Linked DNA regions of Coturnix japonica. The protein of the gene in region 2 interacts with the protein of the main gene of each other region in a pairwise test. Links are inferred from orthologs where the notes say so. Each region holds a gene or a part of one and is shown on either strand. Other genes may lie near its edges.

Evidence for each region.
Region 1: the proteins of PLEKHA5 (region 2) and PDZD11 interact in binary tests that used the Homo sapiens proteins (3 or more experiments, as listed by UniProt). The two-hybrid records come from large-scale screens. The link is inferred for Coturnix japonica from reciprocal best matches to the Homo sapiens genes PLEKHA5 and PDZD11.

What each region holds. Positions count from the first base shown.
Region 1 is NC_029519.1:1,231,144-1,236,320, forward strand, and holds the start of PDZD11 (PDZ domain-containing protein 11), read right to left. Parts: upstream 3,085-5,177; 5' UTR 3,027-3,084; coding exon 2,940-3,026; intron 2,856-2,939; coding exon 2,772-2,855; intron 2,410-2,771; coding exon 2,353-2,409; intron 2,040-2,352; coding exon 1,941-2,039; intron 1,771-1,940; coding exon 1,710-1,770; intron 910-1,709; coding exon 875-909; 3' UTR 1-874. Other genes in the region: chromosome-associated kinesin KIF4A, read left to right, coding at 3,344-3,581, 4,220-4,410, 4,650-4,739. UniProt on the Homo sapiens protein: Mediates docking of ADAM10 to zonula adherens by interacting with PLEKHA7 which is required for PLEKHA7 to interact with the ADAM10-binding protein TSPAN33.
Region 2 is NC_029516.1:59,120,466-59,125,014, forward strand, and holds part of PLEKHA5 (pleckstrin homology domain-containing family A member 5), read left to right. Parts: intron 1-847; coding exon 848-928; intron 929-1,062; coding exon 1,063-1,212; intron 1,213-2,968; coding exon 2,969-3,070; intron 3,071-4,153; coding exon 4,154-4,265; intron 4,266-4,484; coding exon 4,485-4,531; intron 4,532-4,549.

The DNA of each region.
Region 1 (5,177 bases), on a different chromosome or scaffold from region 2:
GGCTTTGTCCCCCTTCTCAGTAGAACAGCTACCATATCACCATTTCAGCAGCAGGAGGGTGAACTGTCCCAGCAGGAGAGAAGATACCCAAGGCAGAGGAAAAGGGAGTTTACCTCAAAGGGGCAGGGAGCACCTGAAAGGGATGGGGCTGTGCCAAGTGAAGGAAGCAAGTTCAGCAAGTGAAACTTTTAACAGTGCAAGCACTACACATGAGGGAACCCGACTATGTGTTACTGCAGTTTAAAAACATGCTCTGAGCATCTTGGTCCTGTATCTTGGGGGTGGGTAAGCAGCAACAAGGGACACACATGCCTTGACAGACTAGTGCAGCTAGAGTTGTGCATTGAGTTTGACTGGATTTTGCTCCTATTTGAGTACCAAGCAAACCCAGTAGTGTAAAGCAGAGGTAGAATAGTGGAGAAGGAAAAGACTTCATATCACCAGAGAAGTGAAAAGATTGATCTCATAGAGAAGGCCATGCTCTGCTAAAGTGTTCTCGGGCACTCCTGGCATTACATCCTAACAACATGGGCTGGATCCAGAACCAGCAGTGCACTCCTTTTAAGTAAGTTATATCCTACTAGAATAGAAGCATAGTTCTGGCAGGACAAGCTGCCCCCTGGTACCCACTTCCATGCCAGCGACACCAACTTGTTTCATCATCCAGTTCCAGGAGAACAGACCGAGGCCCCATCCATCTTCCAGCTAAACAGACTATGGTGTTCCTTCAGGCAGGAAGCAGAGCTGATACCTGCGCAGTTGTGCCTCCAGTGACAACTGAAACTTAATACGTCATCTCAGATGTTGAGGAAAGGTAGTGGAGAGTTTCTTGCAGGACAGTTCCTCCAGACAGGACACAGCAGGCAGCTGCCATTTAGTGAACAGTTCTTTCTTTCTGTCGCTGGTAATCTGTACAAGAAAAAGAACACAAGGCTGAAGTGACAGAAGAGCAGTTGCAGATGGTAAGAAACTAGCCAAAATATTACAAGAAAAACAAATTCTGCTTATACTTCATTAATAGATAACAGTGTCTGCTGCCTTCATAGACAGCAGCTGGTTTTAAAACAGCGCACCCCAGCTGGTTGTTTCAAGTTATTTCAGTGCTCGTTTTTAAAGTTCTCTCTTCCCTTGCTGCTTATTTTTCTACACTTAAAATTTAAGGGCCAGTTTCCAATTTTATGAAGAATCCTTGTTTGGCTTCATTTGACTTTTCCTTGCTCCTCCTTTCTTCCTTTGAGTACTTCTGGACATTATGGGTTCAGAAATCAATAGCTAAAAAGTTTTTCCCTCTTGGCAATACTTAAATATACTTATAGAGATGGACTGAAAACACAGGCAGTGTCTATCTACCATCAGAATAGGTCCACTAGCAACAAAACTAGTTCCTGTGTTATTCAAGGATAAGCAGGTTCTTATGAGGTTCCATGAGGAACCAGCTTGGCTTTTAGCAGTGTTTTTTTTAAGTCCTGCTCTACAAGATTCTATGCTTGATCAGTTGAAGTTAATCCCCGCTGTTTTGACTTGATAACTTTTCTGATCCCCAAATCAAAGCCCAGTGTTTTCTCAGCTGAAGACTGCTTGTGTGACAACACCTATGATTTCAGACTCATCACTGCTAAGCCCAGGTGGATCAGCAGGGATGCAGAGCAGACTGTTAACCCAGGAGAAATGGTGCTAGGTGACCAGATTTGGAGCTAGCAGGCACTTACTGTAAGGGAAGTAACGCACACGCATGGTGATTTCACGGGCCGTCTTCAGGATCTCCACAGCCTGAAAGTAGAAAGAGTTGATCAATGCCCAAACTGTTTTGGAGGATGGGAAACAGTGGTGCATCAGTTACACAGTGCCCCCAGCTGAGCTGGTGAAGGAGAAGGTGTATGCAGCACTTCCCCTCTTCCTGCCTGGGAGGAGAGCACATGCTGGGGAACATGAGTACTCACCTTGCTGTGCTCGATGTCCTGGAAATCCACATCATTTACAGACAGCACCTGATCTCCTTCCTGCAGCCCAGCTCTGTGTGCATCTGAGTCAGGGATCACCTGCAAAAGGCAGAGCAGATGCAACAGTGCTGACACTCTATGGTCAGTATCACAGGTCTGAGTGCTTGCATAATGTGTTCACATGGGGTGGGGATCATTTGGAGAAGAGGGACTGTAGGGTTCCCCATAGGCAAGGGAAGGGTAAGCAAAGGGTGCAGCATTGCCTGTGTGCTACTTGGAAAGAGGCAGATTACACCTCTGAGTCTGGAGATTCATATAAGGACAGATGACGGGCTCCAAACACACCCTGCTGGCTCAGCAACACCCAAAGGAACAGACAGAACACAAAGGAGGAAGGAGAGCACAAACACACCTTAGAGATGAAGATCCCCAGCTGCGAGGCCTTTCCTCCCCGGATGTTGAAGCCCAGCTATGAAACAAACCAGATCCGCAGTGAAACATCACTTTGACAGCAATCCCATCCCTGGGCTGTTCCCTTGTGCTCCTCTCACACGATATCACCATACCCTACAGCTTCCTCCCCCCTCCACACACAGCAGGGTAGTAATCCCACTCACCTCCCCCAGGGCCCAGCACACTACTGACCACCCAGGGTTACCCTCTACGTGCTCTTGAAGGGTGAGTCACTCTCTTGCACTCAGTCAGAGCTTATCACGCCCTTACAGCTTTACCAATTTAGGGGAAGACAAGGTGAATTCAATACGATACAAAGAGAACAAGGAGGCGCACAGTGCCGCGGGCCGGGCCGCAGCGTGGTCCCGCAGCACTCACTTGAGCCCCGGGCGGCTTCTTAAGGACGACGGTGCGGGGCAGGAACTGGGTGAGCTCGTTGTTGTAGTCGGGGTGATAAACCCTCTGCAAAACAAAGCGGCGGGCCTGAGGCGCTGCCCCCCAACCGAGCCCCACCGCGCCGGAACCCCCCTCGGAGCCTTCCCTCACCTCGTGAGGCGGCACCCAGGCGGGCGGGCTCTCGTAGGGCGGCAGGAACACCACCGGGAAGTCATCGTACGGCAGCCGGCCCTCCATGCCGCCGACCGGCCCCGCCGCGCCCTTCCGGCCTCCCTCGGTCCCTCCCCTCGCGCGGCGCGGCGCGCAGTGATGACGTTGAGCTCCGTGATTGGCGAAGCGAGCGCGGCCAAGGTTTGAAAGCGGGCTGTTGGGGAGCCGCCATCTGCACTGCAAGGGGAGGCGGCTCTGAGCGCGGTGCGGGGCTGCGGGCAGCTCCCGGCCTCTCCCTGCTTTCTAGGGCCACTCCGTGCCTTCTAGGGCCGCTCCTTGCCTGCTGCACCGAGAGCCTCGCAAGCTTCTTCTGCGTTTTTCGTCCCGCTCTGTGTTGGCCCGAAATGGCGCAAGAAGAGGAGAAAGGGATTCCGGTGAAGGTGGCGTTGCGCTGCCGCCCGCTGGTGCCGAAGGAGACGAGAGAGGGCTGCAAGATGTGCCTGAGCTTCGTGCCCGGGGAGCCGCAGGTGATCGTGGGGAGCGACAAGGCCTTCACTTTCGACTACGTGTTCGACCCGGCGGTTGAGCAGGAGGAGGTCTTCAACACCGCCGTCGCTCCGCTCTTACAAGGCATCTTCAAAGGTAGGGCTGACATGGGGGGGGGGGGCTGGGAGGTGCCTTCAGTCCCCGTTCGCTGCTGTTTGCTTCGGTTCGGAAGGTCGAACTCGGTTCGGAAGGGCCGAACTCTGCCTGATTGAATAGAACGGTCGAATCGCAGAACGGCTGGGTGAGGAGGGGCCCTTAAAGCTCACCCAGCCCCAGGCTCTGCACTGCAGACTGGTTGCCTCCCAGTTCAGGCTGTACAGAACCCATCTGTGGCCATGGTGAGAGCAGAGTTGGCTCTCACCAGCCTCTGAGAATTCCCCCTAACACTTAACATAGGTCTCTTTTTGTTCAGAGCAATCCCCATTTGTCCTTTGAATTCATTAGTTCATAGACATCCTTAATTGTTGCTGTCGCTGAAGTGCAGTTAGAACGATAGAGAGCTCCCACTGGCTCTAGTGAAGCAGCAGAACAAGTTGTCTGTTTGTTTGTCTTTAAAGTACTGATGTACTTATTATTTTCTTTTCATTCAATCCATTTCTTAATGTTGCTAAATGTGATCTGTGCATACACGTTGTATAAATCAACGTTGCATTTCCTGGAGTGCTGCTTTTCTTGTCAAAGTTTCTTCTAGTTTCTTCTTCACCACCTGATGTGGGCATTCTTTGTTCCCTCAGGATATAATGCTACTGTCCTGGCCTATGGGCAGACAGGGTCTGGAAAAACATACTCTATGGGAGGTACTTATACTGCCAGTCAGGAGCACGATCCCAACATGGGGGTTATCCCTCGTGTAATCACGCAGCTGTTTATGGAGAAAGAGCAGAGGCAGGACTGGGAATTCGTCCTCAAAGTCTCTTATTTGGAGGTAAATGTGGTTTTGGTTTTCAAACTATTGGAAATGTACGAACTGCATATAAAGCGGGTTTTTAGTATGTCCAGGTCTACATCTGACTACATGAGATCTTATCTGAGTACTCTAAAAGCAAGATGAGTGCACCCTCACGTGCGTTTAGCCCTGATTTCAATCTAGTTGTACACCTTTCTTTGTGCAGATTGTTTTCTCTAAAAGCTGCTGATTTTCAACTGCTGTTCTGATGCTTTCAGATCTACAATGAGGAAATTCTTGATCTCCTGTGCTCATCGAGAGAACGGTCTCCTCAAATCAATATACGAGAGGATAATCAAAGCATAAAGGTCTGCTGGGCTGTCAGAATCAGTTTGGGGGCTGTGTTTGGGGACATATTTCAGTGTAACCACAGTCAACCTGTTTGAGCCCTACTTTGTATTAGTGCATACAAAATCACTGCAGCTTCTCCTTCCTCTCAAAATCAAACTGCTGATGGTCCTTATGTTTACTTAAAATGTAACACCAGTAGGGTTAAACTTGCATATAGAAATGTGATGAGTGAGAGGTAATGAGACATCAGTGGTGCAGACTTTCTGTTGCAGAAAGGAACCAGGTCGAGACTCGAACTCGTGGGTACTCCAGGGCTGATTTTATTAACAAGCTCAGTGCAACATGCATACAGAGCTTGGGTCACTCCTAGTGAATGACCATCAAGCTTTACAGAGGTCCTATATTTATATGTTTAGGTAAACATTACATCACTTATGTTATTCATTCTCGTGATT
Region 2 (4,549 bases):
TCCCTTGACATTTGGGTTTGGAATGTACTTCATATAGGTGACTACTAACAGAGATTGATCTGTGAACTTGAGAGTATAGGATTTTTTTTTAAAAAGTTTCTAAGTTGCAAGAAATATTCCATTTTAGGATGAAATTTCAAGTGCTATATGTGTTTAAATGTAAAATGCTACAAGAAAGGAAAAACTCTGTAGATGTAGTTCAAATAGAAGCACAAGTGTACATATCTAGCCATATTTGCATGAATGCACGTAAAAGTAGGCATGCTGATTTAAGGGATGTTACTTTAACGCTCCAATTAAAGTTAGAAAGTAAAAGCAGCAGCACAAACTGAACCAAAAAACTGTAAAAAAAGAAAACAGTTTCAGACTGATTAGAGTGCACTGAACAGTTGCTCCAAACTGGAGCTGAAGGGGAACAGATTTATTTCTAGCCAAGCCTAGATTGGAGCCAAAAGAGCAGAGCACAGTTATCAAAAACCAGCACCTGACAGAAACGATGGGAAGAACTAGCAGTGTGTACAACGTTATATATAATAATGAAGAATATGTTTCTCAAAAGAGTTTTTTGTTAGCTGTTATTAAGTTATAACCATCTAGTTGTAGAGTCATAAATGATATATTTTGAGCAGTACTGTGTCATGTTACAATAACACTTATTTCATAGTACCTTATGGTTTCTTGAGCTTAATTTGAAAATACAACACTGATGCCTTCAGAACTGTAGAATTCATATTTTGTGGTAAAGAAATGTTGTATAGTCTCATGTAATGATTTAATGAAGTTATGTTTTGGTTATTTAAGATATTAAAAACAATTCTAATTGCAGTCATTTTCTGTTGTATATTAGGCTAAGCTTAGCCGTTTATGTGAACAAGATAAAGTTGTACAAGCACTGGAAGAGAAGCTTCAACAGCTACACAAGGAGAAAGTAGGACAATTATATTTATTACCTAAAGTGGATGTTATTTTACATGCTTGTTATCATAACATTGATAACTGAAATGTAATGAAAATCAACCCAATGATGCAGAACATTAAAAATAATTCTCTTTATTATAATAGTACACGCTTGAGCAAGCTTTGCTATCAGCAAGTCAGGAGATAGAAATGAATGCAGATAACCCAGCAGCCATACAAAATGTAGTCTTACAGAGAGATGACTTACAGAATGGACTACTTGGCACTTGTCGAGAAGTATCGCGAGCTACTGCAGTAAGTAATACATTCTTGCTAGTAAGACCCAGTGACCTGTTAAACAGTTATTGTCATGTTTTTGATTGGTTTGAGTTTTTTGTTATTTTTCATTACATTCCAGCAAATCTCAGTTGTCTGTTACTCACGTGTATTTTTGTAAATGGAGTGGAGTGTACTCTCAGCAGGTTTGCAGATAACACCAAGCTGAGCAATGCAGTTCACTCAGTAGAAGAAGAGGATGCCATCCAGAGGAACCTGGACAGCTTAAAGTGTGTGTCCATGAGAACTTAATGAGGTTCATTGAGGCCAAGTGCATGGTCTAGTACTTGGGTCAGAGCAATCCCAGATATATATACAGACTGGGAGAAGTCAATGAGAGCAGTCCTGCAGAGAAGGAATGTGGAGATCCTAGTGGGCAAGAAGCTGGACTAGAGCCAGCAGTGTGTACTTGCAGCCCAGAAGGCTGACTGCATCCTGGCCTGCATCAAAAGACAGGTGACCAGTAGGGAGAAAGAGGTGATGGTTCCCCTCTATTCTGCCCTTGTAAGGCCCCATCTGGAGTACTGCGTCCAGGGTTGGGGCCCCCAGCAAAAGAAAGACACAAAGCTGTTGCAGTGGGTCCAAAGGAGGGCTACTGAGATGAACAAAGGGCTGGAGCACCTCTCTTATGAAGAAAGGTTGAGGGAGCTGGGCTTGTTTAGCTTGGAGAAGGCTCCAGAGAGAACGCATTGGGGCCTTCCAGTACCAAGGGAGCATATAAGCAAAAGGGGGACCAACTTCTTAGGTGGTCTGATTCTGATAGGACAAGGGAGAATTGCTTTAAACTAAAAGAGGAGACATTTAGGTCTGATGTTAGGAAGAAATTCTTCACTTACAAGGTGATGAGGCACTGACACAGGCTGCCCAGAGAAGCTGTGGATGTCCCATCCCTGGAGGTTTCCAAGGCCAGGTGGACGGGGCCCTGGACAGCCTGAGCTGCTGGGATCAACCCTGCCCACTTCAGGGGAGTTGGAGATGAATGATCTTTTAGGTTCTTTCCCATGTATGTTGTAAAAGAGATTGGCTGGATGAGGAAAATGGAAGCATAGGAAACTAAAAGAAATCTTAGAACAGCTCTCAAACTTCTAAATTTATGCTAAATCAAATAAAGGACTTGATCCAGGCTTAGTAAGGGAGAATGACAGAACTGACCTCAAAGATTTCTTTTTGTGCCTTCTTCTGGTGTTTGCATTTTCATGTCGTGTAAAAACAAGTGTATTAGCAAGCCTGAGGTATTCATCTGTAATGTTAAAAGCAAGGTTGGATGACTTAGTTGTCTTGCATAATAAATTGTATATAGATGCACATGCTTTGCACTCATACCTATGTATTCTGTGTGATAAAAGAGACAAATTTACNACCTATGTATTCTGTGTGATAAAAGAGACAAATTTACTTCTGTTTTGTGGGTTTTCTGAAACTGTGGAAGGGCATCTTAGGATCCACACGCCTTCTAATTATAACAGTGTAGTCTGGAGATTTCATCCTGGAATGTCCTTTAGTTTGTGAAAAGATAAAATGCTGTTAGTTTGTACGTCATTCAGTATCATCAGAAAATACTAAAGCTGTTTAATCATGGCATTCTTTAAAACTATGTGTATACTTACTGCCAATCACTATGAATTAATCCCTGGTGTTTCATGCCGTTGAATGAATAAAACTGTCTACCTTATTAATGTTATTTTTTTTACCCTGAGTATGTACACGCAACTCTTTTCTTTTGTCATATACCTAGGAACTGGAAAGAGCTTGGAGAGAATATGATAAACTAGAATATGATGTAACAGCAACAAGGAACCATATGCAGGAGCAACTTGATCGGCTTGGAGAAATTCAGGTCTGGCATAGGTCTTAAAGATACATTTAATGCTTTTTCATTTTCTATGTTTGTGTTCAAAAGTCTACAAAAATGGAAAACAGAAAAAAAGGAGGGGGACGATGTGTGGTCTGGTAGCATATAAGATATAAAAAGAAAGTAAAAGCTCATCAGTTCTGAGGAGGTTTTTAGCTTTTCTCTATATTTTGAAGCTACCATGTAAGTTTTCCTGTGTCCATCTCTTTCTGTTTCAGTGATCGTGTCCCAGATGGAGAAGTTTCCTCAGACCTTCATTGCTATGATAGATATTAAGTGTTCACATAAATCCCTTCTTTTATCTCATGATTTTAAAATGTAGTTATATCACTGTATCAAAATAAATGAAATATTTAAAGTTCAGATGTTAAACATCAGAACCCTTCCTGCTTATCTTATTACTTTATTATTTGTTCCCTTCTCTGGAGAACTGGTCAATAGGTACAAAGTTCTGAATTTCTGAGGTAATCTTTCTGTGACACACAATTGTGTGCATGTGTATCTGGAATAGACAGGTCTGTGTGGTCAACGCTGTGAGGTATCAATGGATGTTAATGGATGTTTTTGCTCTAGGGACTAATTTTCTGCTATGAGAGAGGGATTACAAGGAAACTCAAGAGCTGAGAAATTTGTGTTATTCAGCCCAAAGCATGCATAACCATGAACGCAAATGGGCCTACATTTTATATGTAGTATGCAAACACTATGTTCATCTGCAGCTATTTTCAGATTGGAACTGATGATTCCTTTACTTTCATTGTGTGTAGGTCTTCCTTGGCTTTGCTTTTCTTTGTAAGGAGAAGATGCAATTCCATTAAGTGAAATTTCAGCTTGCAAATTGCTATCAAAATAACTGGCGTGTTTCTAAAATGACTTAATCTGTCCGCTTTTTTCTGACAACATACTGATTTGTTACCTTTTAATGGGAGAGTATCTATCATTATTTCATTTTGTTTTGTTCATTGCAAAAGAATATGAAGTGCTGTCTAGAGAAAGAGGTTTTATTTTTTGCCCCTCCTACAATACATTCTTATTTATCACCTAAACGTGCTGTTTCATTACTGGCAGACTGAGTCAGCTGGGATACAGCGTGCTCAGATTCAGAAGGAACTGTGGAGAATTCAAGATGTCATGGAAGGTTTAAGTAAACATAAACAGCAAAGAAGCTCTTCAGATGCAGGTAAACTGGACGTTTTTCTTTCTTATAGAGTGAGACTGGATCACATGTATTTATACAAGATAAGCATCTCATTTGCTTTTGTGTTTGAAGGAGTCTGCTATTTTAAGTTGACAATTTGTGTATTTGCCTAATAATAACAGGTTATAGTTTGTGTTCATAAAAACTATTTACTGAAAACAATTCTTCTCTTTCCTCCTACCCTCTGCCGCCCCCAAACAGGCATCATGGGATCAAGGACATTTTCTGCTATTAAATATAAAAACGAGGTATGCTTTTAGCGTATT